2 linked regions of the Caenorhabditis elegans genome follow. The protein of the gene in region 1 interacts with the protein of each later gene in a pairwise test. Each region holds a gene or a part of one and is shown in the gene's direction. Other genes may lie near its edges.

Evidence for each region.
Region 2: the proteins of K08C7.1 (region 1) and akt-2 interact in a two-hybrid assay, tested with the Caenorhabditis elegans proteins (one large-scale study listed by BioGRID).

Annotation. Positions count from the first base shown.
Region 1 is NC_003282.8:10,646,855-10,663,378, forward strand, and holds K08C7.1 (MFS domain-containing protein), read left to right. Parts: upstream 1-9,957; 5' UTR 9,958-10,148; coding exon 10,149-10,176; intron 10,177-10,220; coding exon 10,221-10,307; exon of another isoform or gene 10,308-10,443; intron 10,444-10,477; coding exon 10,478-10,586; intron 10,587-12,059; coding exon 12,060-12,419; intron 12,420-12,589; coding exon 12,590-12,779; intron 12,780-12,825; coding exon 12,826-13,011; intron 13,012-13,113; coding exon 13,114-13,206; intron 13,207-13,259; coding exon 13,260-13,376; intron 13,377-13,653; coding exon 13,654-13,779; 3' UTR 13,780-13,931; downstream 13,932-16,524. Other genes in the region: fmo-1 (Flavin-containing monooxygenase), read left to right, coding at 15,193-15,349, 15,467-15,710, 15,761-15,896, 16,077-16,517.
Region 2 is NC_003284.9:14,140,150-14,156,886, forward strand, and holds akt-2 (Serine/threonine-protein kinase akt-2), read left to right. Parts: upstream 1-7,550; 5' UTR 7,551-7,557; coding exon 7,558-7,652; intron 7,653-7,855; coding exon 7,856-7,964; intron 7,965-8,856; coding exon 8,857-9,057; intron 9,058-9,100; coding exon 9,101-9,220; intron 9,221-9,444; coding exon 9,445-9,642; intron 9,643-10,113; coding exon 10,114-10,305; intron 10,306-10,415; coding exon 10,416-10,544; intron 10,545-10,591; coding exon 10,592-10,954; coding exon of another isoform or gene 10,955-10,999; exon of another isoform or gene 11,000-11,231; coding exon 11,232-11,411; 3' UTR 11,412-11,819; downstream 11,820-16,737. Other genes in the region: ceh-89 (Homeodomain-only protein), read left to right, coding at 1,797-1,835, 1,986-2,051, 2,098-2,151, 3,224-3,313, 3,357-3,494, 3,551-3,679, 4,031-4,042; ceh-90 (Homeobox domain-containing protein), read right to left, coding at 14,966-15,097, 15,756-15,827, 15,873-15,968, 16,023-16,109, 16,579-16,632, 16,676-16,737. UniProt on the Caenorhabditis elegans protein: Acts downstream of PI3 kinase age-1 and kinase pdk-1 in the daf-2/insulin receptor-like transduction pathway. Essential role in regulating developmental arrest at the dauer stage.

The DNA of each region.
Region 1 (16,524 bases):
AATAGTTATGGGATCAAAATAGAAAGTTGAGTTTATGAATTTCAGTTGCAAAACTGCTGTTCACGACACAATAGTTTCTTTTTTTGCTTGCGTGCGTGCCTCTTTCTCTCTCAAAAAAAGGCGTCGAATGAGGGGTGGAGCTCTTAACGGGGATGGCACAGGAGCATACACATGGAAAGGGAGAAAAGGGTGGTCGTAAAATGAGAAGTTTCGCTTCTTCTCTCGGATCTTCACACACACTATGTCTGTAGGATCCTCAAAAAGATTATATCAATTTCAATTAAAGGTTTGTGTCTACTCTTGTATTGTACCACTTTCACGTTTTTACATCACGTTGTTGTGTTGAGAATTTGTTGAATTTGCCATAAAATTCACAAGGTCACAAGTTAAGGGAATGCAATAGAGACAGGATGATCGAATTTGTGTGTGTGCAAAATGAGATGAAAGAAGAAAAAATTCATGTAAGTATTTGGCAACTTTTTTGGGATCAGATTTCTTATAATGATTTGGAAATTATGAAAATTTGAACATTCTGAAAAAGTTCGAAATGCGACGTCATGAAAACGGGCGGAGATTTGAAAAATTTGAAAAAGAACAAAAACAAAGGCTTAGTGAGAAAGTGCGCTGGGAAAAAATTGACAAGAAACGGAAGAGATTAGAAGGTCCATAAAAAGAAGGAAATTTAGTGATGGGGTACAATGTACTATAACAAAGAAGGAAGAACTGTAATAATCATAAAATGTTTATAAAAATTGCTAAATTGTTTCAAAGGTACGCAGGTAATTAAATGTTGGTAAAATGATAGTTTGTCATTCAATGATTTTTGTTTTTTCTTCCTATTCCAGAAAACAGGAAAAATCTTTTCTTGGTGAATTTCAGACAAAATCAAACCCCTTTTGTCTCAGATATAGACGTCGATTTATATGCGGAAGAATAAGTTTGATAAATACGTAATGATGTTGCAAAGTTTATATTTTTCAAGCTCAAAATGTCAGTTTGCCAAGGTCTAGACAAAACTGCCAGAAAACTATGTAAAATTTGTTAGTTTCACATTATATGTTTTTTGTTCGGAATTTTTTTTAAACCTGTAACATTCGCAGATTTTGCGTTTACTGTACTAGCAATTGCAAGAGTTTTAAACCAAGGAAATTCCAAAAATGTTCGATTTTTGTGCACCCCTGATGATTGCACTCAAATCATTATAAATTCAGTTTAGTTATTTATGTATCCGTATTTTTTCAAATCAAATCACAAGTTCATACATGATTTCAAAAAAAAACGATGGGTGTTCTTTAGATCTTAGAATACACTCTGGGATCTCACACTTTTGTGTTCTGGCTCCGCAATACAAACAAAGAAAGTATCATCTTATGATTTTTTAGAATAAAGTGCCTGAATCTCCAAAGTGAAAATCAGTATGACCTTTTAGATTACTGGAGTTCCTTATTTTTTCGATTTTCCTTTTTGAAAAGTGCTAAGCTCATCGTATAATTAAATGGCTCGACGGAGTAAGCTCTTTGCCTCCCCCACAAATAAATTGTGGTAATAAGGAAAAGACGAGGAAAGTGAATCAGCAAATTTTGATCGAAATAGAAAGAGAAGCGTTAATAGATCGAGAAAAAAGGAAAAAAAAAAGTTTTTGTCTAAATGAGGGGCTGATGTTTGGAATTTGAGATACGATGAAATGGGAGCATCTGATGAAGAAGGACATGTGAGTGAACACACCACTTTTTCCTGTTTTTGACCACAGTTAAGTAGTTAAAGACGTAGATCAACATTAATTACAGATGAAAAAAGTTTAGGTTTTTAAACCTTAAGCTTTTAAGAAAAAATAATTGTTTTCTAGAAGTTAAAGCATCTAACTTAGAAGTTTATACGCAAAAAACAGGCCTAACAGTTTTTAATTCAAGACGGTTAATATTGGAAGTTACAAAATGTTTTTCAAAAACGAAAATACGTATGACAAGTTATGTTCCAGCTCATCAATTTTGTTTTAAAGAGAGATATCTCCCTACTTTTTTCAAAATTTATTGCTCATCATGTATCAAACCAAGACACAAAAAGATCCCTGGCATTTGTCGGTCTATCAATACGTGCATTCCACCAAAGAACGTCTAGACTTTTGGGATCCCAAGGGGACAGAGAAGGGACAAATGATGATTAGGATAGAGGAAAATTTTGGGGTAGACCAGGCTTCTAGCATTGATCAGTTTGGTTCTTTTGGTATTTTCGAAACGAATACAGAAAGAATAGCCGTTTTGTCTCATCATAGCTAAAACTTGAAAAAAGCTGTAAGTACAGAATTTATATTTTTTGTAATTTTTTCAATGATAAATGATCGTAACTTCATATCAAAATGGTTTTGTAAATTTTTGGTCAAGTCAGAAGTTCTTAAACATTTCATTTTTGAAATGTTCTTGAAATAAACATTTTTTGAGCATCACACCTTAAAGCATAATGTAATTTTTGGTAATGTTCCGCTTCTTGCACATATCTACATCGATGTAAATAAGATGTGCATCTAAGTATAAGGTTTCGCGAGAAATCTTTGAAACATTGAATCTTGATTTTTTGACTTATTCAACTCGAATTTGTACTAAATATTAATTTTTTAAACTATGCCATAGAACTATTATGTTGGCTGGAGATTTTAATTGTTTCTGAAAAAAACTCTAATTTTTTTTTGCAAAACGTTTCGGAGCAAAATTGAATTTTGGAAAAAAGTATCCTTATAAGAAGGGAGTGGATCAGTTTTTACTCTGTTTTAATTTGTGATTTTCAATTTCAGAAATTCAATTTTTGCATCTAGAATATTTGATCTACATTTTCAATAAAACACTTTTAATATGTCCTGACGCAAACCTACAACTTATCAAGTTTCCAACTTGCGATCGTTGAATTTTGATGTACTTTTTAAAAGTTTCAACAATAGTTATAACGGAGAACAAAACGGAACTTCTGACTTTAAAGTTTTTCAACTAGAAATAAAGCACGAGATATCCTTTACAAATATAGAAATGTGTTTTAACTTCCGCTTTTTGCACATTTGTCAGAGAATTTGCACCTAAAATGGAAAGTTTCCGATTTGCATTTTCGTGCTTTCTATTTCTCTATTTCTACTCTCATTTTATGAAACCACTAGGATGCATAAAAAGTCATGACATTCGAGATGTACAATCGAAATCGGATACTTAACTAGTTTCTGTGTACTTTCGAGACTATTTTGTGTGAAGCCAATGTGCTCTTTAAAAGGAGATATTTGGAAACAACGGGACAAATATATTAACTTTTGATAAAACCGAGGAAAAATTCAGAAAAATTGAGTGAGAATTTAATTTTGCAAAAACAGAAAAAAAAGCTAATTTTCATTGAGTTGGAATTTTGCATTAATGCAACTCATTTAGAAAGGTGTGGTGGGAAAAGCTGAACGAAAAGCGAAATTACAGAATTCGAAGATGCAGTATTTCAGAGATTTCTTCAACAGTTGGGTTTTCTGCAGACTCGTCAAATAGGCCAAAAACCAAAGAAAACGACAAAAAACACGTTGGTGGTTGTTGAAATGAAACATTTGATCCATTCTCATTCGTCTTATTTAATCCCTACCTCCTTATTTCGCCTCGTAACTTTTCTCTAAATTTTTTGATATATTTTGAAGACAACAAAGAGCAAAAGTAGAAGAAAGCTATTTAGAAAAATATACGCAACTTTATACATGTTTGACTTTTTTACATACTTTCGAGGTTAACAAAAGAAAATTATCATTTGCCGGAAAAAGTCTAGATTAAGCAGTTCTGGTTTTATTCTGTATTCACTGGAGGACTTGCGTTCAAATTTATGAGATCCTCTGAAAAATTAATTATGTCTTTAACGGGCTTAACCTTACTGACTTACTGCTCAACCTACTGAATACTAAAAACTTGTACAATATATTTTCAGCATTTTTACAAAGTAAGTATTGAAAAAATGTTCAGTCATGCGAAAACTGAAAATGACTGCCTCTCGTTGCCCAATATCTCTTAAATTTTCTCTCAAATTTTGGGTTTCCAATAGTATCAACAAACTATGAAGCCTTTATGACGAAACTATGACAAATTTCCACTGAAAAATTAAACAATTTAAAATGATGCAAATTTGAAAATGAATTCAGGAAAGTTGAGAAAGGAGAATGCAGAAGGTTGCAAGAATCGTCAATTCGCGGAAATTGAAAATGGAAGACACAGATTACTTTGGAGCAAACCGACGCTGTGCACATTTGGGAGAAAAAAGTTCATCGGAAATGGAAGAAGAAGGGCGTCTTCTTTTTTCTCATACTTTTTCAAAATGAACTTATTTAGAGCTTTTTTGTTCTTTTTTTCTATTGTTATTTTTCCAAAAAACTTCATTTTAATTTCCTAAGTTTCCTGATTTTCCGAGAAATTGTTTCGCACATTTGCAATACAATGTCTCCTACATGATATTTGCAAAATTGTAGAGCCAATAAGTTAGCAAATATAACAAATATCCTCCGTCATTTTCTGTGTAAACTCTTAGATATATATGTGTTTAGTGGATCTCAAAGATGAGAAAGAAACGATGGAATTGGGTTCGGAAATCGAATTTTGAACGTGCAGTGTTGCACATTTTAGATGAGGGTCAATGGACAAAGTACTGGGATTTTTTTTGTTGGATGAGGGCTAAAAGTTTTTTTTGGAAAAAAGTTTTTTCTGCCGGCACGTGGGGTTTGCAACATTTGGAAAATTGGGCAAAGATCCTAATGGTGGTATCAAGGGATTTGAAGAGACTGTGATTATAGGCTTAAGGAAATTTTCGGAGGGTCCTAATGTAGTAAAACTGAAAAAAAACGTAAAGAAACAGTGTTCCTTTGACACTGGGATTTGTTTAAATTTCTAAAAGTAATCTTGTTTGCAAAAAATGCCTGCCTACCAAAATTCGTAGCGACCTATTTCAAGTTCCCCTGAACTTATAATTATAATATTTGAATTGAATTTTCAATCAATTAATTAAAAAAGAAAAAAGTGAAAAAGTGTTAAATCCAAAAAATGCAGAAAAAGAAGGAGACCGCCATGTCTATAAGAAGGCATAAGGCAGGTTATGTTTATTTTGAAATTTCCTTCTGTTGAATCCAAATAAATTTCTAAAAAGGACCCTGAAGGACAAAGTTTTAAGAATGTTTCATGTTGAGAATCTAGGCTAAAAATCATTTTATTTAGTGAAACACCTCATATTATAATTTCAAATAAAACTTTGTAGTGCAACAAAATAAGGAAATACAGCTAGACACAAACTCTCATAAATTTCCGTAATCCTAAACTCTCAGATTGTGAATGTAAGTGATCCTTATTTGGTCAAGGGTTTCTGCCAGAAATAGACAAAGTTCAAACACTAGACTTACCTTTTGATATATTCTTTTTAGTTCTTTTGAGTTTTCAAGAAATAATAAAAAGTGTTCACAGAAGAAATAAGAATTGTTTAATTCTAAAAGTCAAGGAGTCTTCAAGTCCCGCCCATCGTAGACTACCGTAGATTCCAAAAGTTCATTGATCAGATAGAGGTGTCCCAAAAAAAGAAGTGGAAAAATGGGAGGAGTCTTCTTGACTTTTCTCGGAAAACAAAGAAAAAAGAAAAGTAAGAAAAATAGAATAATGAAAACTTGGCTCCTCTGATATATTGGAACGAGAATAAAAACTAGGAGGTGGCAGTTGAAAATCAAGACACAAGGAAATAGGAAATGCCCCGGTTTCCTGTTTTTACTTTATATATCACATGTATTTGAGTGCTCATGTGTTTAGTAATTGCATCAAAACATATATTTACGAAACTGCATATAATTAATTTGATATCGACTAGTATTTTTGAGATTAAAATGTCTACATTCAATCTTTAGTCCAGTCTTTAAAGATTATTTCCCCAGGTGAACCTTTTATTTTAGGCATCCACGTTTTTTTTTCCAAAATGTTAGTTAGGAAACTCAGAGCAAAATTTTGTAGCACAACACAATAAACCAGTACTTTTATCAGATCAATTATTACAATATCTTCAATGTGAAAATATCTAATTGAATTAGAAACAAATTTTATTAACACATTCGGCGTATTGTTTCATTGCAAGAGACCACTAAGCGAACAAAAATAGCTTTTCTTGAGCTCATTAACACATTCTTGTCAAAGAGGAAGTATTCTAGTTGCCACGTCAACAGATGTCTCACGGAATATGAAAACTTCAAAAAGAATGGAAATAGACACTACGAAGGGCCACATTTTCAGACAAGAGGAAAAAGTTGCCGAAAATCAGATATACCGCTTTCTGTGAGTGGAAAACATTGTGTACTTGTTGTTATAAGAAATAATTCCACATTTTATTTATTTAATCACATTTAACCGGAAAGCCTTAAATAAAAATAGTATTGTTGAAAAAACAAGGCAACGCTTGAAATAAAAAGTTCATATCCCACAAGGCAATTTGTTTTTCCTTACTGTAAAATTGGACCAATTAGATATTCGAATAAGTTATTAGTATTATTAGTATTAATATTTTGATTTTTTTTCATGTCGTTCGGTGCTTTATAAGGTTTTTTAGAGTAGGATATTTACACATTATCTTTTCAAAATAAATTCTAAACGTTTTTTCACCAAAATTTTCAATAAAAAGTTTTCTAGTTATTTTGGCACTGACACGTTGAATGCATTTGAGATTTCAGCTGAAATGATTCCTTTTTTCAAAACTTCAAAACTAGAAAAAATTGAAAAAACGTTTCAAAACGTCTCAATACCAAATGAGCCTTTTGGACTATAATTTAAGTCCAGTGATTTCCAGTTTACATATTATCAAAGCAATCATAGTGACGTGTATTTGTTTATAGAAAGCATATTACTTACACCTAGACGAGAACCTACACCTTTGGTCTTTTTTGCCAAGCTATTATAGAAAAAGAAAACATCTTCCAGCCAGCTACAAACTGAATCGTCATCAATGCTGCAAATTATTCACGAATCACACGCTTCTGATATATAATCTCTGACACTAATGCTGACTACACATCCTGTTGGCTCAACTGACAAGACGTTTTAATTTACGATTATGACTTGAAAGTCTTTGACCTTGGCGGATCTATGGTATATTGGAAAATATATGGAAAAGAGTTCAGAATTTTCGACAATTTCAGTTTAAAAAAAGACAGCTTATTCTCTTATTCCCACTCACCTTCGATTTCTTCTTAACTTCTCTCGAATCCACCGGTGCACTCTGCGACCGCTCAACCGCGATCCAATGTCGATACAGCTTGACTTTTAGTTCTTAACCCTTATCTGAAATCGCAATTAATCAAAAAATTAGTGACAAGCACGAGGATGAGTTCAACTCTCCACCACGGAAAAATTTGAGTTCAACTCTCCACCACGGGAAAATTTTTTGCGAATTTTTTCATCCCAAAAAAAAAGGAAAAAAAATCCCATTGATTTGTCTACATAGGGCATCGAAAAGCACCCAATATTTAGAGAGTAGAAGATTTTGAGAATTACTGCCTTCAGAAATTGACAATTTTCCCATTGATTTGTCTACAAGGGGCATCGAAAAGCACCCAATATTTAGAGAACAGAAGATTTTGAGAATTACTGCCTTCAGAAATTGACAATTTTCCCATTGATTTGTCTACAAAGGGCATCGAAAAGCACCCAATATTTAGAGAACAGAAGATTTTGAGAATTACTGCCTTCAGAAATTGACAATTTTTCCATTGATTTGTCTACAAAGGGCATCGAAAAGCACCCAATATTTAGAGAACAGAAGATTTTGAGAATTTGGATATTCAGTCAGAAATAAAATGTTTCGCTTGACTGAGCTAATCAGTCGCCATATTTTCCTGATGAGCACTGTGGTCGGTCATGGTGTGGGGAAGATCATATTCAAGGAAAATAATTGTTGCTGTCATGTGGGAAGAAAATGACGAGAAGCTCTACTTTCTCGGACAATATTGTGGAAATTTTCTGTAGAAAAAATGTAGTGTGTACACTCATTAAAAGTGCGCAGTTCTGTAAAGTGACTTGCAGAATTCTCCCACATTTCTTTTTATTTTAAATCTTCCTTCAAAAACTTCTTTGTATTCCATTTCCTGTGCGGATATTTTCAGAATTGAATTGTCTTCACGAGACTCCAATCTTCCAAGAATGCTCTTTAACAAAATGATTGTTTGAACTTGAAAATTGGATGGGTGTTGGACTGAACCATCAAAGATTTTATAGTTCTCTATGTTAGTGGAGCAAGAGAAGAGAGCAAGGCGACTAAAATTGAAATTGAAGTTTGCAAAAAGGGAAATTACCACGAATTCTCGTCAGTGCAGAAGCTCTTACTCATGATTACAATTGTCTGGAATATTGAAGAATGAAACAAAAATGATGGGAAATGGATTTGAACTTTTGTGGTTTGCTCCGATGCTCAAGATGTAACGGGAAAGATACCAGAGGTAGTGGAAAAGTGCAATTTTAGAGTGGAGAAGGAGAAAAGTTCATTTAATATTTTCAAACTTATTAATTTTATACATACATTTACGTTTCTAAAATATAGATGGGATTCAAAAATACAATTTCTAAACAACTCATACCATTCTTTTCTACCTCCAGGGAGCCTGCCTCGTGCCTTTACGGATGCCTTCTTTCAAAGTACATTTGTAGCTTTTGTCGAATTCCTTCTTGACCCTCAACAAAATTAAAACGCGAGTATTAGAAACAGTGGAGTTCAAGCTCAAATGCAGCATATACCTTCATATTTTTAGGGGTATTTTCCGGTTATAAAAATTTGTGAGTATTGTATAACTTCGCTTCAACTACACAACTTATTAAAAATTTAACTTTTTCCAACGTACGTTTGAGTACCTGTTGAAGCAGGCATAAAATTGCAAAAAAAGGAAAAAAAATACTTCTCACCTTTTCCATCTTTTATCAGTGTACTAATCAAATATTTGATTTCTTGAAAACAATTTCAATGATCTTTATTTTGTTGAAATTATTGTTTCTCACGGTCTAGACTAATTGCATACCAGATTTTCTGAGAAAAGTGAGTCAACTGACTGAAAAAAGTCTAGGAGACTTGTAACCTTGAAAATTCTGATAATATTTCTCAAACAAGGGATAAGTATTCAAACTGAGCTTTCATTGCAAAGGTTTTTGAGACAGATTACAAAGAAGTCATAAAGTTTTCTGATAATTACAAGATTTGAAGATTCTACCCAATGCGTCTCTTCTATGTGATACAAACTCTTTAAAAAATATTTAAGAGTGACTTTCTGGTTATCGAAAAGTTTCGAAAACAGACAGGAAATTTCTGTTTCATGAAATTTCCTATCTGATTTGATCAGAGTGGTTGACTAGGTTTTTTTCTTCAAAAACAACTTTTTGATTACTACCAATCCTCTTACCAAACTTTTACACTTCCTTTCAAACCTTTTTAGTTGCAATTGGCACGATTGATAACGCCCTGACAAGCTTTTGCAACTAGATTCGAGCTAAAGACAATCTTGACACCATCGTGGCGAAATTTTGACCGGAACTTGGCCATTGTTGCCAGACAGTTGTCGAATGTTAGGAAGCTTTTAAAATGTTTACCAATTATTTAGGATTGAATGATGATAAGATTATATACCGCAGACAAAAATTAAAAACTTTTTGAAAATAGTTATATTTTATTGGTTCAAAGTATTCAACAGTAGCAGCAATGGACCTAACTTTCTATGGTTGAGATCTTTTTACAATGATTCATCTATTTTGAAATTCATGTACTTTTCTCAATCGAACTTTTGAAATGTCCTGTATATTATTAACTTGTCAATAAGCCCAACGGTCATCCACATCACCACATATTCTTTTTTGCACATTCGAACATCTGTGCACACCAATCCTCTTTTCATCATTCACTCTTTCTATTTCAATTCATCTCACCCCATTTATCTCTTCGTCTCTATTCTCACTTATCTTTATTTGTTCGTCTATTTCCTCTCGTTTTCCTCCTTCCTCCATCATATTTTGTTCATATCAACACAATTCTAATATCTAAGTTTTCATTTCAATTTCTAGCCTTTTGATTAGAAAAACTACAACCGTCATCATTTGAACATTCCACCACAGGCAGCAGCCTCACTATCTGTTTGGCTTCCCTTCATGTTTCCGGTTAGATATTTGGTTTATGGTAAGTTTAAGACGTCGTGGTTTTATATTCTTCTGAAAGTTCAGGGCTCAGTACTTCATGCATCACTCTACTCTATGCACTTCGTCTCTCATTCCATTCTACAATAATATGTCAATTGGAGAATTCAACTGGTCAGTCGGTTAGCTATTAAAATCATTGGTTGATTATTCGTTGTTTGATATCATTTCAATCAAAATGACAGTTCCTCTTGTGAAATTATAACGGTTGATAGTGAACAAGAAAGAACTGGTCATTCTCTGATCTTGGAAGCTAATCAACTTTAAAATTTCTAAACTTGCAGACTCATTTCTTTTCGATGAAGATCTCAAGCAGTTTACGTTCCAGTCTGTTGGATTCGGGTTGGCTGTCGGACTTATTCCACTACACTTTCTGAATTTTTTGGGTACAAGGTTTGTAATGGGAGAATTGTGGAGGTTATTTATTACATAAGTGTCTAGAGACGACAATTTAGGTTTTCTCTCACAGGCAAAGCGGGTACGGTCCGTTTACGGATCTTGGACCGGGAACGGACCATTAACGGGTGAACTACGGATATGAAAAGCGGGACGGACCAATTACGGGCAAACTACGGGGAATGTAAAAAATGGCCATTAAGAGGAAAAAATGGATTTTAAGAAAACGATTTTTCTTAAATACCTATGATACCAGTTGGCTAATTCAAGCATTTTTACGTCGTTAAATGCATTATTTAGAGCAAAAACCATATTTACCGACCGAGATGGCTCTTGAGCCGTAGTTGGGCCGTTTCCGGTCCGTAGACGGTCCGTCGCCGGCCCGTAATCGCATGCGATCTAACTGAGGCTATTAAGCATGACATTGTGTGTAAAAGCGGTTATATTAATGTAATCCTATAAACATATCAATAAAAAGATGAAATGCCACAATTGGGTAGATACTGTGTATACGCAACGTTCACTCTCTCTGCTGGTCTTCTTCAGCTGAGCAACAGGAGCATTTTTTGAAATATCATAAAATATTTTACTAACAATACATTCTGGAATCATATCGTTTCTGTTCCGTGTGTATTTTTAGAAATTAAGGTATTATTCAAGTAGAACGCATATACTTTATTTCCTCTATTAGTATTGCAACTCGGTCCAATCGAAAATTAGTCTTGCATGCAAGACTAATAGAGGAAATATGGTAAGTACCATATCTGTATTACAAGTAGATGGAGCACGTATAGGTAGATGTTGAGAAATATGCGAAATAAGTTCTGAACTACACGAAACTGTCAATTGTTATCGTTCGCTTTCATATAAGTCCAACGGCAAGATGGAGAATCAGAAACTACTGAAAATACAATCGAAAAAGTTGGTGTAAGACGTGAAAACCAGAAGAAAATGCGCGAGCGCGAGCTGATCGCTATTTATGCGAAGTCTATTGATTTTCCTCGCGTGCGCGAATGGCCAAACGGTAAGGTGATGGGCCAGTAATCAATCGACAGGCAGTGGACAAGTTCAACCCCGGCTGAGGCAGATAGAATTGGTACAACGAAGGATCACCGGAAGACGGTCTGGAGCAAGACCGGAGCTCGGGGGAGCATTGGGAAAGAAAAAGGGGGCAGCTGGAGGGTGAACAAATTTTCCCATTTTTTAGTCTCCTCACGGTTCAATTACGGTCCGTTGACGGACCGGGAATCGAACCGTGAACTGTTCTTAAATTTGAGCCGTTCCCGGTCCGTGAACGGACCGTTTTGGGCACTTTCCGCTTTGCCTGTGTCTCATAACATCTTTTCACTATTTTTCATTAATATGTAGTACAAAAGATTCAATTAATTTTATTGATTTATGTAGTAGTTCTCGTTTCAATACACAATTTGTTGTTGATACTCATTTAAAGCACACCTTCATGTTTTTCAGAAATGTGACCATTCTGTATGGAATCGTTGGAATTATCGCTGCTTTATTCTACCCAACAGCTTATCATCTTGGATTTTATCCGTCTTTCATCACTAGATTTTTTCAAGGAGCACCACTTGGAATTCTCCTTTGGCTCATTGCAAAAGTTGCAACAGAATGGACACCAAAATCTGAGACAGCTATTGCAATTGCAATTTTGACGTCGGTGTATCAATTGGCTCCGTTTGTAGCACAGATCACTGCAGCTGAGATGTGTCAGTATTTTGGATGGGAGTACACGTATTACTTCTTGGCAGTTCTTTGTCTCATTTCACATGTTGCATTTTATTATGTGTATTCGGATAAGGTTGATGATAACAGGTAGGTTGCTGAAAGTATTGCAAAGTAGGCTCGCAGGTAGGCATTGGACTACCTAAAAAAAAAATCTGATACAAAACTATCCCTTGATTATCCATGAAGTTCATAAAACGATTTATGACGTTTTGTTGTTTTCTTGCAAAGTTTCTAGTTAGTAGTTTAACTATTTACAGGCTTGCAACACCGGAAGAAAAAGCTTTTATCACTGAAGGGAAAGGCAAAACTACAGCCCAAGGGACTCCAGATGTTCCTTATAGACAACTCCTTCTTGACACAACTGTTTGGGCCACATGGTTTGCTAATCTTGCATTCTTCTCATCCCTTTTAGTTTTTCTGCAATATGGACCACTGTACATGAACAAGGTATGTTTGGTAAGATGTTCTTTAAATGATCAACAAACATTTACAGGTTCTCGGATTTTCTGTTCGAGTGACCGGGTATTCCGGTGGTTTGGCTCACGTGTTTTGTTTGGTTGCTAAAGTAATATTTGGGAAAATTATGGACAATAGCAAAATGGATATGACAAAACGATTGAAAGCAGCATGGACTTTTATAGAGATCCCATCTCTTGCGCTTTTATTGATTTTAATTTTTGTGAGTTGACTTTTCTTTTTTAAATTAAAATTATTTTGCAATTCCCAGAACATCCCTCGAACGCTTCAAAAATATAATTTTATTTGAATTAAAAAGTTTTAGATTCATGATGCTTACATTCAAATGATTTGCATTGTCATCTTCATCACAATCCATGGAGTTGCCATTATTATTATTGTGAAAACTCAAACTTATGTAAGTTTGCTCTTCGTTTCCATGCCCTGATTGCATAAAAGACATATTTTCAGAGATCAGCGGAGCACAACCACGTGCTTGCAAATGGAAATACGCTTTGTGTCGTTTTCAGTACATCCCTTCAGCCTCTACTCATCAAATTTTTGGTTCAATCGAACACGTTTGAAGAAGTATGTGACAATTCCAAAAAATGTATTATCAGTAAGAGTCTGGTCATGAGAATGGCTCAGGTAAACAACAAAATGTGCTAAGCGATTCTAGTCAATGGCAAGAATGTAGGCAATACGAACATATGAGCAAGTCGGGCAGTGCGAAAGATCACAAGCAATTCAATCAGTTTTTGGTCTGATAAAAAAATCTGGAAATGTATTTTTGATAACTCCGAAATGTATTTTTCAAATTTTCAAAATTTAAATTACTTTAAATTTCTATCGAATTCATTTTCAGTGGTCCCGAGTGTTTGGTCTACATGCTATCATAATTCTTATCTCTGTGATCCTCTTTGTCTGTAACATAGATGCCACCGCCGCCAAATGGACAGGAATACGAAAAATTCAAAATGAAGAACCATAATGGTCACTTTCTACTTTGGTATTGAATATATCATCGGGTTATCATATTATCGTGTCTCACAACCACCTGCCAATCTATATAAATTTCACTTTTTGGTTTTTTTTTTGGTGACAAACTACAATCATTTCTTATAAAGATATTAAAAAATAATTAGACAGCAAAATATACAACTAATAATCAACACATGGATATTATAATTTACAGTAAATATCATCTGTAATTTTGAAAGTATTACGCAGATTTTTACAACCACGGTATCTATCGATATGTTTCATAAAAAATTTGTAATGGCGTCATTGCAAATTTCTGCAATATGTAAAAAATTACATGTAACTACAGAAAATATAAATCTGTATTTACGGTTTCTCAGAATTAAAGTTTGCACAGACACAATGTTTCAAAATAAATTATTCCCTGTTGGCCTGATTGTGATTTACGAATTATCAAAAAACGCTCGACTGCATGCCGCCTTTCCAAAATTAGCATTTTCGTTGGAATGACGATAGAAAATTAGAAAGTTCATGACAAGGTTCACCTTAAAATAAAGTTTTATATTTTGGAATTTGCTTTTGTTCACCCTATTTAATAGTGAACTAAAATTCAATGACTCAGTGCATGTTCTGATGTTACCTGAATAAAATTATTGTTTTAAACACCTTTACCCAATTGATAAGAATTGATGAACTTGATAAAAAAATTCGAAATACGAGGAAAAGAAAACTATAGCCTAAATGTGCCTAGTTGATGCTTCAACTCAAAGTTCTAAGACAAAATGCACTCTTCGTTAAAGTCCTAACTGTAGACTATTTGCATTGGTTAACTATGCGGGTGTTCTTTTTTTTGTTAGCTTTGCGAGAAAACGTCTTACTATTAGATATTTGATGTGTTCATTGTTCAGAAGTTCACTAGAAAGTGAAATATAGTTAAAATGCCTTGTATAGAATTGATAGCTTTTCAATAATTGTCAATGAAGTCAAAAAAGTTCTAAGAATATACAATTTATCTTTAAACACATTGAAACGTGGCAAGCAATATTAAGTATGTTTCGTAAATGTTACAGGGCTCACGTATAGTTTTGCTCAATCTTTAAACGCCGTGCTCGTTGGAAATTTCCATGACTCGGCAGTCATATTTTCAATAACGACCCACTTTATTATATGCTCAATGGAAAACATATGTTAATGATAAAATTTCATGTTTCTCTTACCTATTCTTTAAATTTCAAAACTCACTCTACGACCTACTTCACCGTTTTCCGACTCCTCCCTCTTCCACCTTGTGCTCTTTTTTTTTATTATTTGTACAACTTCTAGTCTATTTGCTTTTGTCGCCAATCAGAACCGATAAAAGAACGCGGTACCGATTACCTTTCCCATTTAAATCAGTTTCAGCATTAACGTTACTATTTTCTAGATGGCTCCAAATAATAAAAAGCTGCTCATTGTGGGAGCCGGTGCATCAGGGTTGCCTTCTTTGAGACATGCATTGCTCTATGGAATTGATGTAACTTGTTTTGAAAGAACAAAGGATGTCGGAGGATTGTGGCATTATAAACCACAAGAGACGGAATGTGAGTGTAATTTTTCTAAATTAAAGCGTAGATTTCTAAAAATTAATAGCGGGTTTATTTTGTTATTTCCAAAGAAACACTTTCAATTTTAACCAAAAAATCATCAAAGATTTTCAGTGTCCTCTGTCATGAAAACTACCGTTATCAACACATCAAAGGAAATGACGGCATATTCGGATTTTCCTCCCGAATCAAGAATGGCAAACTTCATGCATAACACAGAAATGTACAGATACCTCTTGAATTACTCGAAACATTACGAACTCGAAAAACATATAAAATTTAATCACAAAGTGAATTCAATCGATCGAAATGAGGATTATGAGAAGACCGGAAAGTGGAAAGTTAATTATACTGATGAGTGAGTTTTGGAGAGTTTGATGAATCAAAAAAAAAGTCGAAGAATTACAGCAAAGGAGCTACCCATGACGCTGTCTTTGATGGTGTTATGTTGTGCTCGGGACATCACACTACACCAAATTGGCCACAAAAGTTCCGAGGACAGGATGATTTCAAAGGACGGATTATTCATTCACATAGTTATAAAGTAAGAAATTTTAATAAAAAAATTTCAATGACTTATCAGTGATTACGTAATCAATATCAGAGTATGCGCATAGTATCAAGTGTGTTTCGGTGTTGGTTTCGAAGCCAAGATAGTTATTTTCTGACACTGGAGAACCATTTCTATAATTTTTTTCTATCAAGAAAACTAGACAATTTTTAGGATCATCGTGGCTATGAAGATAAAGTAGTCGTTGTAGTTGGAATTGGAAACTCTGGAGGTGATGTTGCTGTTGAACTATCAAGAATTGCCAAGCAAGTATACCTTGTTACTCGTCGTGGAACATGGGTGTTCAATAGAATTTACGATTATGGACAGCCAATCGATATTGCAATGAACAGAAAATGCATCTCTGATCTGAGATCTTTCGTTCCAGCGTGGCTCACGAATACAGTTGTCGAAGCCAAACTGAATCAGCGATTTGATCATCAAGCATATGGTTTGAAACCAAGTCACAGAGTTTTTGGAGCTCATCCGACTGTCAATGATGAGCTGCCGAATAGAATAGCTTGCGGAACCGTCAGGATTAAGCCAAATATCTCAAAGTTCACTGAGACTGGGGTCCTTTTTGAAGATGGGTCTTTGATTGAGCAAGTTGACGAGGTGAGAT
Region 2 (16,737 bases), on another chromosome or scaffold:
CGAATAAAGAGCAAAAAGTTGTATAGAAAAAAAAATGAACCGTCTGTTAGAAGAAGAGCAAAAAGCTTCTCACTAAGTGATATTTGTTTTGGAAGCCGAAACATTTTCAACTATGTTTGATGACATTCATGACAAATGTAGGAGACGAGTAATCTAAATATGTCACAAACGGTGAATTAAACTTAACAGTTTAAATTATAAAGAGCCTTCAAGGTAACACCTTTTTAACTTCAGTTTAAAAAATTTTAATGAATGATTTTAAATTTCCAAAACTACAAATATTTCCTAATATGTAATATGGTCCGAAAACACAAAAAATAGACAATGGAAAAAAACGAAATTACAGAATAAAAAGATAAATCACGGCCTATTACCAGTATTCATAAATAAATGATTGCGCCATTTCATATGAAGAAACCGACTCACAAAAGTGCATCCAACCTCAGAGACTGTGTTCTTCTAGTTTCTGTCCAATCGCCATTTGTTACAATATTTCGTTATTGTGTATCTATCCATGTCTGGGGCAGTCGAAAAATCCAATGCTTTTATGATCGGTCTAGACAGCAGAAATTATTTCCACATCACGCAGCTTACCCAGATGCTCATTGATGATTTTGGTAGAGTAAATGATGTGGACTTGGAAATGCAGTTACCGAATGACCTCTATTAGTCTTGCATGTTGGACTAAATTTAAATTGGGCCGTAGGAGTGCAAGACTAATAGAGATCGCAAGACTATTTACTGAATATCAAATAGCTTCTGGAAAAGTGAACAAAAGAACAAAATTGTAGAAAACCCAACTTGGTACCGTTTAAATAATAAAAACTACAGAATCACCAAGCTTATATTGAACAATTCGATGTGAAAGTGTGTCTTGAATGAACGACAATTGACCACATTTGAATAACAATAAATAAATTTTGAGATGAATGTTATATCATTATGAGATATCTAGAGTACTTTAAGATTATTTGCCATTTGGAGAGAATTAGTGTTTTACTAGTTCTGTACTTATGTATGTAGTAGCATTTAAAACTACAATATGAGTACAGTTTTTTCATTAAACTCAGAGTGCAGAGCTTCTGCTGTTTGGCGTTTTCAGATTTGGCAGTTTGTGCAATTAGTTTGTGTTTCTGTTAAATTTCACTGTCATTCATTACTTGTTTTACTTATTACCTAAAATGTGAATATTCCAGCACTTGGCTCTGATAACTGTTTTTGTTTGTTTTCTAAGTGTCTATCAACTCCATTGCGTGCGTCACTTTTGATGCGTTTTCCCGCGTCACAATCTGATTTGCAAAACGGAGTCAGTTTTGAAAGAACATCTGTTAGCTCTCATATCTCTCCTATTTTTTCATTCATCTCACTAACACACTTGACCGGAGATTGCATATTAGAATAAAGTACGAGACCGAGACATAGAGGGTAGAAATGTTGGGAGAGTGTGCGCTTGCACTCTTCATCGATTTTCTAAGTTTATTTTTTCCTTTTAAGAATACGGCCAATTTGATAACACAACTAGTTTCTAGTTTTCACTATCTAGCTTCTAGATTTAACTCTTTTTACATTAAGTCCCACATTTCCTGTTTTGTTTCAATTTAAAAGCGGTTTTTTTAACATCCCGCTTCTTGTGCGATAGAGCGAAGTTGACTCTGTAGCATTTTGTTTTTATAAGCCTAAAATATTTGCATGCGATTTCCACATTTCTCCAACAATTGAATAGCATTTTCTTAGAAATAACTAAAAAAAACCTTTTCAGATTATACATTTTCAAAACTTATTTATTTAGTTTTCAGATGGCTCCATCAAAAAGAAGTTCGAAAAAGTCACGCACAGTAAGTTGTTAACTTTATTTTTTAAAAAGTATTTTTCTTTACACATTACATTTTATTTTCTGTTGTAAAGATACTTGAACTAATTTTAAGCCAAAAACTAATCAAATTTGGATTAAAACTAAGTAAAAACAATAGACAAACAATTTTCAGAAAAATGTCAGGAGAGAGACGGAAAACTCAAAAACTCAGAAACAATCAACACGGAATCTTCCGAACGTATGATTTGCATCACAAAATAGTCACACTAATATAAAAATTGCAGAGAGCTTGCAAACTGAAATCACTTCCAGCTACAACAAAGTCACATTCGGATTCAGTAAGTTTTTACTTTCTTGTAAAAATAGAAACCGTTAAAAGATTTATCATTTCTAAATAATAACTTGCAAAAGCGCCAAACTAGAAGGAGCCAGAATCCTGTAGTCAAAAAGCGTATTTCATCTTCATCGTCTTCATCTTCGTCTCGTTCGAAGTCTTCTGATAAGTCTAAGAATGTATCAATTCCAGAAGTAAGTTGAAACGTTAACAAAAAGTGCTTCAAAGCAAAAGAAATCATAATGTTAAGTCATCTTTTTTTGTTCATTCTAATTCATAATTCTAATTTTAAATTTGAAAATTCAAAATAAGAATCCTTAAAAACATGTTTAATAACGCTTCAAATCATTAAAATTTAAAAATAGCTAGAATTGTCCTAGGAGGTAGTAGGACAAGGAAATAAGGCCAAATATTTATTTATGAATAAGAAGAAGGGGGGAAACAATAGTGTATATTCTTGGGGAACTGACCGGCTCCTTTTATATGGTCTCTTAATTCGATCAGCAGGGGCGTGAGGAAGCAAGGGAATATGGTAATAAAACATTTTCTGGGAATGTGAATTCGAGGGAATATGGGAATATGGTAATAAAATATTTTCTGGGAATGTGAATAGTCAGAATATTATGGATCAAACATTAAGAATCGCCTTCGATGCGACAAGAATCTTAAATTTTGCCAATTTTACAGTATCGCAGCTGGCGGAAGGTGATTTTTATGTGATTTTTGTTAATTGAAGTATATTTTATTTTTCTGAAAACTTACTGTGTACTAAAAACGTGCTTAAATTTAAAACAAACGCTGAGTTATCAATCAAAATAAGAAAAAAAATTTGTTAAAGATTGGTTTCAGCTCACTAGAAAAATGACAAATATAATAATTCAAAATATTCCGAGTTTAATTAGACCAGAATATAAATTTCACTGTGATAAAAAAAAATCAAAATTAAGATACACATAATTTTTGCTGATCTTGAATCATTTTTTCAACTGTTTCATATGCTTATATATTTAGCTAAATTCTAATACATTCAAATAAGAATGTTTGAAGAAAACGTTTGAAAATACTCTAAATTTCAGGCAGATCAAACACTTGGAATCGAAAGATCAAGACGTGAAGATTCTTCGTCATCCGAATTATCCGAATGTTACTCTGCACAGAATTATTTGGTAACGTTAAATTGTGCTACTAAATTTTAATTTTGAGCTACAGATTCAAAACGCGTACTACTCGGAAAAATATGCTCCAGCTATCATACACAAATTGCTTCCTGCCTTTGAGGCAAACAAAAATCCAAACAACGATGAAATTTTGGAAATAATGGCAGATACAGGATTATCTCGAAAAGAAGTTAGTTTTTTTTTTTACTTTAAAAATTCTCCTTAAAAAAACTCTAACGCGTTTAGGTTCGTCGCTGGTTCCAATGGCGTAATGGCACAAACTTCAGAATTGTTAGGCCAGTGACTGAGGAGCAGAAAAAACGGGCTGCTGAACGAGAAAGAAGCAGAGCTCATTTGAAAGTGGACCTGGAACAGGTGAATCCAATACTAGAAGCTATTCCTACAAGGAATCGGAACTGTGTCGCGGGGGGAATACTGCAACTAGACGTTCAGTCATTTAAAGAGCCTGAACTAATTGTATATGGTTGGTGGCCATTTGGGACTGTGGAAATGGATGATTTCGAAACGTACGATTATCCTTGGGATGATGATGGAGAAGTTGATAGGGAATGGTAAATAACAACGGTAAATGTTTGTAAAGTTCACTTGAGATATGTTGTCTATTTTGGACAATATGGATATGGCTTTGAACAAAAATGAACTAATTGTAAGAAGAAAAACCCTATATTTTTTGATATTCTGCAAAACTAAACTTTTTATTTTCAGGACCCGATCTGAAAAAGAATTGTTGAAGAAACACCCATTGTATTGACAACAAAAAAGCAGCATTTTAAAATAAAGATAACACATTAACTATTTATCTGTCTGTTCCCCATTTTCACTGACTCCACTCTTACATCTACTTTAAGGGTCCTTTTTCCATCCTTCTTTGCAGACCTAACAAATCTAAAAAAACAATCGTATAATATCTGAATTAATTAACCTTTCACGACTTGTAATTAACCCATATTATTATATTTGCTTGGAAAAATAGGATTTTTTAAAAAATGTTGACAGATCCTTTCCAATCATCAATTTCCCATATTCACCATGTCAAAAACACGTTAAGTATTTACGAGAACTCAAGCATGCTCTGTAGAGAACTGTTTAAATTTTCCTTATTTTATGTTTCCGGTTTGCCGACCTGTTTGAGATTTCAAAGCTACAGTATTTTCAAAACGATGTTGCTTTAATACTTATGCTACATTTATTTCTCTATTGGACCTGCACTCAATAATATCAATTGAGACATACATTTCCAGTCCTTATCTATTTGTCTTACTAAAATGTGAACTTTTATCAGTCTTGCTTTCAAGTTATTTTATTCCATTTCAGTTGTATTTTTTAATAACTTTTAATATTTTTGAAATGCGCTGTTAATATTTTTAATTGATACTTTCTATTTAATTTAAATTGTTTATTCCGTGTTTTTACGTGCATTTTCGGATAATCGGCTTCCAAATATACCAAAAATTGAGTGCCTACCGATTGAAACTGTAAGCTAATAACAACTAGGCCTGTTGAATGGGTCGAGATGGGTCGACCCGCGACCCAATTTTGGGTCGGGGTCGCGTCCCCGACCCATTTTCGGAAAATGTCTGAAATTGAAAAAAAAAGTTTGTTTTGTTGTAAATCGTGTTTAAACGTTGACTCTTATGCTTGTTTGTATCGAAAATAGGATATGTTTTTTTAATTGATGAAAATACGATAATTTTATAATTTTCAGCTTTTACACGTGTTTTTTGACAAAAAATAGTTTTTCAAGTTTTTGATAACTTTCTGTTAAATTTTGAAAAAAATGGGTCGGGGACATGACCCCGACCCAAAAAGTGGGTCGGGGCCGCAACCCCGACCCAAAAAATGGGTCGGGGACGCGACCCCAACCCGGCCGACCCAAAAAAAATGGGGCGACCCACTCCACAGGCCTAATAACAACAATGCAGACAAAATATACAAAATAGCAGTATATTCGAATAAAAATTCATATCTGTCCACTGCGAGAAGAACGAGTAATTAATATGTCTTTTTTTTTATATTTTGCACGTTTCTGTTTTTGTGGTGTCCTTGTTCTATATAAAGGACTACACACCAAAAAACAACTGAATAATAGACGTTGTTGACATGCTTGTTTGTGGATTTTCAGAGATCAAATCCCACGTTTTCGGTTTTTTTTGTCGTTTTTTCGGAATCTCTAAAATGTATATTCTTTGTTTTTAGTAGTTCATATTATTATAAAAGAAAAAAAACTGCACATCTGGTAAACAATATAGAAAAAGAGAGTTGCGAAACTTCAAAAATTTGTTATTTAATGTCTTGCGACACTTAAAAAACCGGCATTTTACAGTTTATGTTGTGTTTTTTGTTTGTCGGTTGTCTTATCATCTTGTGGTTTTGGATGCATTTTTCACTTGGCAAGTTGTTTACCACTTTCTTCCGACCGCATGCTTTTTTTGCTTCGTTGGTTTTTTCAAAGTAAGACGGTTGTCATACAACAAATATCACAAGGAAATCACATATTTCACTGTTTCAACACCATGCCCATTTTACTCCAGACAAAAAGTTACCTATGTAGTTCCACTAGACGTTAGGAAATATTATACATTTTTGAAATTCATTTTTATTTTAGAGATTTCAAAATTATAGATTTTTACTAAAATTGCACGGAACGGCGGAAATAAGTAGACGAACGCCTACAGTCAAAATTCACAGGAATACCTCGTTAAATTATTCCGCTTTAAATAACTAAAATTGTATATAACATCACACTTCTACTTCCAGTGAAATACGCCTCTTTCTGCTTAAACTTTTTGTTCAGTTAACCAAAAGAATAGAGATTTGCAGCAAAGGTGGAGTAGCTCTTGTGCACGTGGTGGCAGGCAGTCCCATCACGGTCTGATCTACAAAACATGCGGGAATTTTTTCCCCCAAAAAATATGACGTCAGCACACTCTTAGCCATGCGCATTCAGTTGAAATGTCTGCGTCTAAATTCCCGCGAATTTTGTAGATCTACGTAGATCAAACAGAACTGAGACAATTTGACACCACGTGTCAGTGGAAATTTCATTATAACGCATTTATGATATTACAAAACAATAATACAGTCACTTGAATCTTTGTTTAAGGTGGTTTATATAATTTTCCCCAAGTTAAATTCGAATAATAATTTGTTTTGAAGAGAAAACAAGTTACTAAATGTTATTAAATTGTGAGCAACGTATTGCGTACATAAAATAATTTTGCTTTATACTTGATCCACCAGAATTCACATTCCCTCGTTATTTGAAAATGTTTAGTTTCACGCACATGTTTCTCATATTTCATTATTCCAGAATTTTCTTCTTTTTTTTTTTGAAAACAAATCTCGCTTTCCAAAAAAATCAATATTCAAACGCAACCTTTCTCGTGATGCTGTTGACGGGGGGAGAAATAGTGTCTGAAGTTGTTTTCGTCCTTTTTCCTGCCGCAGCAAAAAAGGTCACATCCCCTCTCTTCGCTGCTATCTCTATTTCTCTCTCATCTCTCTTGCCGGCGTTTCTCTGCTTCTCCGCTCAAGTTTTGTCTGCAATCTTTTCCTTCTGTCCTTTTCCTCTGTTTGCCACAATACGTCACTAGGGGTGTTTGTTTTTCCCATAGTCTTTCGTAGCCAACGACTATTTTCTTCTTTTTTTTTTCGTGTTTTATCAAAGCTATGAATTCTTAGTTCGTTAGATTTTTTTTTGGAGGAAAAATTGTCGTAGAACCTAATTAGTGTTGAATTAAAAAAATTAAACTTCAAAGCCTTATTGAAAATATGATCAATTAAAACTAAATTGTTATAAATGTTTCATAACCATGAAGTTCAAACTATGTTTGTAAATTTTTAAGATGTAATGGAAAAGTTGTAATATTTAAGTGCTCGTGTAGTATATCTGCCCTAAAAATTTTTGCCAATAGGGTTTCCACGTGGTGTCAGAATGTCTAATTTCGGCTTGATCTACGTAGATCTACAAAAAATGCGGGAGAAGAGACGCAGAGCTCTCAACTAATTTTGCATGGTTAAGAACGTGCTGACGTCACATTTTTGTGGCTAAAAAGTCCCGCATTTTTTGTAGATCACACCGTAGTGGGACACGTGGTTTTCCATTTTTGGGGCAGGTATAGTACATAAATACCATAATTTAAAACTACCTTTTAATTGTATTTTTTTAACGACGTATTTTTCTTTTTTAAAACAAAATCTCTGAAAGAATTATCACTATTTACAGCGTAAAAATGTCTACTGAAAACGCCCATCTACAAAAAGAAGACATTGTTATTGAAAGTTGGCTTCACAAGAAAGGAGAGCACATTCGTAATTGGCGCCCCAGGTAAGTTTTTCATTGTTTTACCAGGCCTATGTATCCAATCTAGTACAGTAGTTTTAAGTTTCATAGCTACTGTCCCTTATGAAAAGATATTCAAAAAGTTTTCACTTTAATTGCACTGAATTGGAAATGAAAATCTTCCAACAGGAAACCAAAACTAATTTGGAAATAAATGAAAATTAAATCCTAAGATGTCAGTATTTTAGGTACTTCATCTTGTTTCGAGATGGAACGTTGCTTGGATTCCGGTCAAAGCCAAAGGAAGATCAGCCGTTACCAGAGCCACTGAATAATTTTATGATTAGAGACGCAGCGGTAAGTTTTTGAACCTGTAGATGGTTACTAGAAAGTTTTCAAAATCGTTGCTTTTAAAGGTGGAGTAGCGCCAGACAATTTACTAAGTTTTTGCCACCCATTATTTTGGAAGTCGACAAAAAGAATTTTTTCCAACATTTTTTATACTGTATATCTGTTTTAATTATATCCATTGAAACATTGTAAGGGTCGGAACCAGGGGTGTGCGGCAAATCTCAAAATTTACCGAGCTCGGCAAATTCGGCAAATCTATTTTTCCATTATTTGCCGAGCACGGCCAATTCGGCAAATTTGCCGTGCTTAACAAAATCGGAAAAATTATATATTTTTTGATATTTTTTGGAGCACCGAAACTACTGAATTCTTAACACACCTCTGGTTTCTGAACAAGTTAGATGTAGTGTGTCTGCTTAAACATCAAAATAACTCAATTTGTTGTCATTTTACTAAATTTTTGGCGAAAAAATCAACAGTTTTAGTCAAAATTGTACTGTCAAATTTTTGACGTGTGCGGCAAATTTCGAAATTTGCCGCACACCCCTGGTCGGAACATTCGACATTGCTTTCGATTTCTTCAAAAACTCATACTTTTCAAAACTTTGGCAATTTGCCAAAACTTTGACCGGAAATTATGAAAAATCTAAAATTTATTGGAATGCTTCATTATGATATTCGGACATTTTGGATTATTAAAAATGTGTTTGAACAAAATCTTCCCTGGCTCTACTCCACCTTTAAGCAGAAAGTTAGTACCCCAGTAATATACATATGTAGAAATCCCTCTTTAGTAAAAATTTGAAAACCTTAGCTGAACTTCAAATAAGTTTTTAAGTAATTGCCAGTAGGCAGTTTCCATATTGAAAACCGCAACTACCAAAATGCTTTATTTCAGACGGTTTGCCTTGACAAACCTCGACCAAATATGTTTATCGTGCGATGTCTCCAATGGACCACTGTCATTGAACGCACATTTTATGCGGATAGCGCCGACTTCCGTCAGATGTGGATTGAAGCAATTCAAGCTGTATCCAGTCACAATCGTTTGAAAGAAAATGCAGGAAATACCAGCATGCAGGAGGAAGATACTAATGGAGTATGAAAGTAAAGAGATTCAAAATTTTCATGAAATTTTTTAGAATCCGTCTGGAGAAAGTGATGTGAACATGGACGCAACAAGCACCCGTTCGGATAATGATTTTGAGTCAACTGTAATGAATATCGACGAACCAGAGGAAGTTCCAAGAAAAAATACAGTGGTAAGTTTCAAAATCCTGCCAACAAATCCACGTATTGATATGTGGAAATAAGAGGTTTTTAAAGAAAGTTTTTTGAGTAAAAATGATTAACTCGAAAGGCGCAACAAGTTTTTTTTGGTTGACAGGTTGAGCGAAACTTTTTTTTCTGATTTTCCGCTAAAAATTCAAGTTTTGCTTTGTATCTCTATTATTTCTTAAATGTATGTAGTTATTTAATTTTGCAGACGATGGACGATTTTGACTTCCTCAAAGTTCTCGGTCAAGGAACCTTCGGAAAAGTTATTTTGTGCAGGGAGAAAAGTTCTGATAAGCTCTACGCCATTAAGATTATCAGAAAAGAAATGGTCGTTGATCGTTCTGAGGTGGCCCACACTTTGACTGAAAATCGAGTTCTGTATGCTTGCGTTCACCCTTTTCTCACGGTATGCTTATTGGTCGAAAAAATATTGAGTCGGTGTACAATGTTGGCAGATGTCAGTGAAAATTGAAGTAGATGATTTTTTTCGTGAAAAAATCATGTTTAGAGAGACGGATAAATGCACACTAGGATTTCAACGATGGCGCTACTCTCGCCCGCCAGCACCACAATACGCCCCACACTCCCGCCGCCCTCACAACATCGCCTTTCTCTGTTGCACGTAGCTATAGTGGCGCGAGGTCCTGCGCGGCGTCGGCAGCAGTACACAGAGTGTGATAATGCTGGCGCATGGGCGTGCCGAAGTAGGGCGGGCGTTTCCGTGGAACCATATTTTTTTTCTCTAAGAAACTCTGAAATACATATTTCCTATAAATTTATCGATTGCCATAACTTTACAAATATATCTTACTTACAATTATTTAAAATATTTGAATTCCCCAGTTGTTGACACAGTGCCACAAATATATTTTTTCAGCTACTTAAATACAGTTTCCAAGCACAATATCACATCTGTTTTGTGATGGAGTTTGCAAATGGTGGCGAGCTGTTCACCCATCTTCAGAGGTGCAAAACATTCAGCGAAGCACGAACAAGATTTTATGGATCGGAAATCATACTTGCTCTTGGATACCTTCATCACAGAAATATTGTGTATCGTGATATGAAAGTAAGTAGAAGCTTTTTGAGAGGGGTTATCACAACTTGAAGTATTTGTCAGAAATTTTTGAATTTCACAACTTTGATGTTTTTTCATTGTTTTTTCCATTGTTTTTTCAGCTCGAAAATTTGCTTCTCGACAGAGATGGTCACATCAAAATCACTGACTTTGGGTTGTGCAAAGAGGAAATCAAATATGGAGATAAAACAAGCACCTTTTGCGGAACACCAGAATACCTTGCACCAGAGGTAAAGCCTTTCAATTCTCGCGTCAAGTTATTAGTCTATTGTTTCAGGTTATCGAAGACATCGACTATGACCGTAGTGTTGACTGGTGGGGAGTCGGAGTGGTCATGTACGAAATGATGTGTGGACGGCTTCCATTTTCAGCAAAGGAGAACGGCAAACTCTTCGAACTAATTACGACATGTGATTTGAAGTTCCCGAATAGGTTAAGCCCAGAAGCCGTAACATTACTATCTGGACTACTCGAAAGGGTCCCAGCTAAGCGGCTTGGTGCCGGTCCTGATGATGCACGTGAAGTTTCGAGAGCTGAATTTTTCAAAGATGTGGATTGGGAAGCAACATTAAGAAAAGAAGTCGAACCTCCATTTAAGCCAAATGTGATGTCTGAAACGGACACGAGTTTCTTTGACAGAGTACGTTACGTTTCAATTCTTTTGAAAGTTTCAGAAGCAATATGAGTAATTTTTAGAGTAAACGATTTACAATTAGGGCAAAGTGTTGTTATTTTTAGTACAGTTTTAAAAAAATGTATGCCAACGTACATAAGATTTCATTTAGTTTTTTTACTGATACTGAAACACAAACAACACTTTGTTTAATGACTAGGATTTTCCAATTTTCATAACAGTTTTCATAGTTTCTAGAAATAAGAGAACCAATGATTCAAAAATGATATTAACATATACTCAGGAGTTCACATCAATGCCGGTCCAACTGACGCCTCCACGTAGAGGGGAAGAACTTCCGACAGTTGATGAGGAAGAAGAATTACAAGCCAACTTCATACAATTTGCGTCATACTACGTGTCGGGAAGCTTGGAACGATCTTATGATACGAACAGAAGCGCTGACAAATACGAAATAAGATGATTTTGTTTTCAACAATTTTTTGTGTTTTCTGTACGTTTTTTTCTCATTCACTCAATTTTGTCAACATTTCATTGTCTCCTTTGAAAACTTGTTATCTCTTTCATGAACTTAACAAAATCTCTTTCAAACATTTCAACCTTTCCAAAAACTGAAACTTTGCGTAGAGCACATTTCGTGTTGCTCACATCCTCTGGGCTAATTTCCATTCCTTTCCTGTTAAAACTCCCCATTTCGCATCACTTTTTTGACAATGCTCTTTTATCATGTTTTTCTGTAGTACTTGATTCATATACCCATCTCTCGGGTATATTTAAAACTTTTAAAACACAGTTCCTTTTCTTGATAACATCTTTTTCTTGATATTTTGTCGCCGACATTTTTTCTCGGGAATGAACCTTTCTCACATGGATGACTTAACAGTACTTTTACATTAAGACAAATACTCAGTTCAAGTAACAAAGAAAACTTTTATCAGAATTTATTTAGTTCAGTTTTTGAATGTCTAATAAAAAAGTGCATTATATCTCAAAACTTTCGAACATAGAAAAACGAATGCTTTTAATAAGTTGTAATTGGAATTGAAACAGATTTCGAGAAGTGAAACAATGTTCGGGGATCCTGTGGAAATCTGTCATGCCATACGAGAAAGTACATAGCAAAGTTTTCGATTAGAATAGTTTCGAGTAGACCATCACTTCTCTCAATATCGAGTCCATATGTGCAATCCACAAATTCAAGATCATCACTGAAACGACAATTTAAAAAAAACTGAATTTTCAACTGGCAGGCTTAAGTTTAGACATATGTTCCGGTTAAGTGTAAGGCTTGGGCTTAGGTTCAGGTTAGGCTAAGCATTAAAATTGAAATCAGGTGTCGGCTTAGAAAGCTTAAGTTTCGACTTAGCTTATGTGGTTTTAAAGTGTAGTTTTTCTTTTTATTTTTTCCCTGTTTTCCCCTAGATTTTAAGCAAGAATAATGCATATCAGAATGATTCCCTCCATTTTTATGACTTGAAAATTCCAGAAAGTTATTATTTGGAAAAGACCTTAATTAAACATACCAGAAGATTCTTGCTCTACGTTTTGGATTCCATTTGGAATATGATAAACCTTTCAATAATTCGCCCGTCCAATTATGCCACCAGTAGTTCAATTGAAGTCTTCTCAGTTTCGGCGAATTCCCGGCCAGCCAGTAATGAATTTACTTATTCCGTTTTGTTGCCGAGACTGTATTGAGATCATAAAATCTCATTTTCTCGCAATCCATCATTTTCAAATCGTCTAGTGTTAATCCTGGGCCTTTTTCGATGTCCAATCGTGGAATATTGGCCCACTTAAATGTGAATATGCTCATAATTCAGCAAAGATATTTTCAACTTACCAGCTTTCTATCAATCTTGTCCTTGTGTAAACAATAAGTCAGGAATCCATATTTCGAATCGAAATTCTTCAATATAAATTCCATATCTTCAGTGCCAAAGTACGAATGTCCGAGAAGTTTTAGAAAATGGCATTTCCGAAACAAAGGGTGGCTCAAAGCAGATTTGAACTCCCCAAAAAGTTGATCATGGTCAATTGCCAAATCGACATGATCGATTGAAAACAATCCGTTCAAATAATCCAAAAGACTAGTCAACTGAAAGTTGTCATAGCCGACCAAATTTAGATTGTCTACCTTTCTTTAGTGAAAATTATCAAAATTAGAAAATAAAATCAAAAGCATAGTAGAAAACTTGTCCAGGAACAGAGGAAAACTGGATTTCCATGTGCAAAAACTAAATAACCTATCTCCGCGAAAAATGATCGGATAGAGCTGTGATTTGAGATTCCATTTTGAATCATTCTATTAACTCTAAATTTAACATAAAAACCGAAACGATAGTGGAAAGTTTGTGAATTTTATGGAAAAATGCAAATTGTTCAAGATAAATGTTCATTTTTCGATTTTTGATACGATTATCCACCTTTTTTGGAAAAAAATTATATTTTTCGCTTCCTCTCGATGTATTCAACATTTTTCCAAAAAAAAATTGGAAAAAAAGCAAGACTAACAGAGATTTGACCGGAACAATGGTGAAAACTGACCGAAAACACACCAAATATGAAAGGGGGAGGTGGGTGTGTGTGTGAGAGAAAAGGGGGAATGTGCAGAAATTTTGGCAAAACTTTAATTATCGTTTTAAAAATAACGAATAGAGATATCACAATGAATTTGGATACTATGGATAGGTATTGGGAAGGAGAACTTAAGTTTCGAGTCTCAAATGTTTTCGATTGAAACTCGAATTTTCCTTCAATTTAAAGTGGTTTTCGGCCAGTACTTCGGTGTGCGCAAAAACAAGCAGGCTGTGGTTTTCCGCTTGTGGAGCCGACAGGATGCTCCAAAATCAACCCCCTTTTAGATGAACACACGTCGCTATATTTTGTGAATGTGGAGAAAAAAGAATTTCAAAATTCGGTCCAGTGAGAGCCGAGATATAAACGTTCATGACAACTTTCAGGGGTGTGGCGTAGATTGTAAAAGTGCGAAATTTCTATTGCTATTAAGTGTTTGAGCCAAAATATAATGGTGTTTTCAAATTTGAAAAATAACGAACAATGAAACATTTCACTTTTTGGAAAGACGTGAATTCTCAAAACTTCTGTAAATGTGCTGAAGTTTGTCAAGACCGGCCAAATTTGATTTAATATTAAATTTAAAAATAACAAGTTCCACTTTCAAATGGTGCTTAACTGATGTCGAAAACTTCTTTGTGTAATCGGGCCTGCGGCCCTCAACCTGAATTATTGAGCTAAGAATAGGCTTAACGTATGCCCATCACTTCTGAGTATATTCGGGCCTGCGGCCCTCATTATGTGTAACAATCTATTTTTCGTGTAACAATCTATTTTTTCGTGTAACAATCTATTTTTTCGTGTAACAATCTATTTTTTCGTGTAACAATCTATTTTTTCGTTTAACAATCTATTTTTTCGTGTAACAATCTATTTTTCGTGTAACAATCTATTTTTTCGTGTAACAATCTATTTTTCGTGTAACAATCTATTTTTCGTGTAACAATCTATTTTTCGTATAACAATCTATTTTTTCGTGTAACAATCTTTTTTTTCGTGTAACAATCTATTTCTCCCCGCCATCTGGTCCTCAATATGCATGCGTCTCTTCAACTTTCTACAATTCCCGGCGGGGTAGTATTATGAGTGCACTCCAACTTGCAAAAAACTCTGACTCCGTCTGGGTCGCGGGTCAACGCAATAATGCGGATCGGCCCTATGCCACCTCTATTACCGCAGAATGAGCACTGTCAAAATATCTCCTAGCGAATATTACAGTAACTCTTCAAAGAACAACAATAACCAATCCCATTTGTTTGAAATTTTGAAGCGCCGTGGAAAATTTTGAAAATTTTTGAAGTCCCGCTATGTAATTTGTATAATGTAATATGTAAAATCCAGTGAAAAATCAAATTTTCTAAAAACACATAAATTTTTTGAGAAGTTTTATTATAAAATGTATTACAACATCTGATTACAAAAGCTGTTTCTAAATCTACTCTACGAGAGAATATTGTCAATTGTGAAGGGTATGAATGATTTGCGTCCGATACTCTGATTGGGTGGAGCTTGTGGTTTGACAGTGAGCAGATCATTGTTGGCTTGAATAATTGGAACAATAGGAGTTGTATGCTGCAATGAAATACAGTTAGGTCATAGTTTTAGAAAAACATGACAGTTCAATTTTTTTTTTGAAAAATACACTATTTATATGTATTTGTATTCTCACAGCAAAATATGTGTTAGAGTCTGAATTAATTTTCAAAATGTTTTTAGCCGTTTAAAGTAATAAAATACTACAAATGAGACGAACATTTTTCCCAACTTTTTCTATGTTTACAATATTGAAACGTCTATCCATTAGTTTTTAAAAACCTCAAATAAAAGTTATAATTCAATTCTACAGCAGGTCCAGTCAAATTATCATGTTCTAAAAACTACGGATCTTACTTCAATTTTATGACTTTTTGTAAATATCAAAGTCTCATAAAATAAATTAACGCTTTTGGTGAAAAGTATTCAATGAGGATTGGCATTGGGAAAATTTAAAGCTTTAATCTCGTCGCCTTTAAAGTTGATCTGATTTTAATTGAATTTGTATGGTTTCAAGAGAAATATTGTGGAACAATTTAGATAAGAGTGCCAAAGATTGTCGATTAAAACTTTGCAATGCATTTTTAATATAGTACGTCTGAATGGCATCTGACAATTTGGGGTGAAATTAATAATTTGAGGTTTAGTGAGAACTCATTTACACATACCAGTTGTTCAAAACTGGAAAAAAACATACCATTTCACTGCTTGATTGCCCAACAACACTCGAAGTTTGCCGAACAGTGTTCATGTAAGCTTCCAGAAGTACCTTCAGAAGTTTCTGTATTTTAAAACTCGGAGAAAAGTAACATACCATTTTACTGTTTGACGGTCCTGCAACATTAAAAGTTTCCGGAACATTGCTTAATAGTTTCATGTTCTCCAATCGGTATTGAGCTTGCGATGACACCTTCAAGAAAAGTTTTTTTTGTATGTATTTATGTCAAAGCGAAAAAAAATATACTATTTCACTACTCGGTGGCTCGGGAACAATCGAAGATCCCAGGAGTTCTACATTGCTTCCCGATTGGCTTGTAACTTCTCTCGACATCTTCAAAATTTATTTTATACATGACAACATATTTCCAGGAGCCTAATGCGATAATGATGCTCAGCGCTACAACTTGAACTGTGTGCATTTTGCAAAGATTTTAGAATGAAGTCGAGTATGTGTCAAAAAAAACTTCAACTGGATTTTTCAATCAAACTCTCTGACACGGTAATTGTAAAATGTGATTTTTTGAGCTGTCCAAGCATAAAAATGAAAACAATAATACATTTTCAAACAATAAAAGCAGAAGTGTGATGAAACTTATTAAAATGGAAAACGTCGGCAACTTAATAATTATGAAACAAATACTTCTATGAAAATTGACTGAAAAGATTAAAATGATAGCGACAAACGCAGAGAAAGAGCCCATTAAAAATTGACAACAGGCATTTCATTAAACCCAATTAGTAACTTTCTCAGCAAAACTGATTCACAAAAATGATTCACATAAAAATTAAATTTCAACTACCTTTAAGGAAGCCTTTTTCACTTTTACTCTCATTGCCTTGAACCAGCGATTAATCTGAAAAAATAGTAGACTTTGTTTCTAAAATTTAACAACAAACCTGAGCTTCGTTTCGATTCAATAAACCAGCAAGACGATTCATTTCAGAAGTTCCAGGGTGTG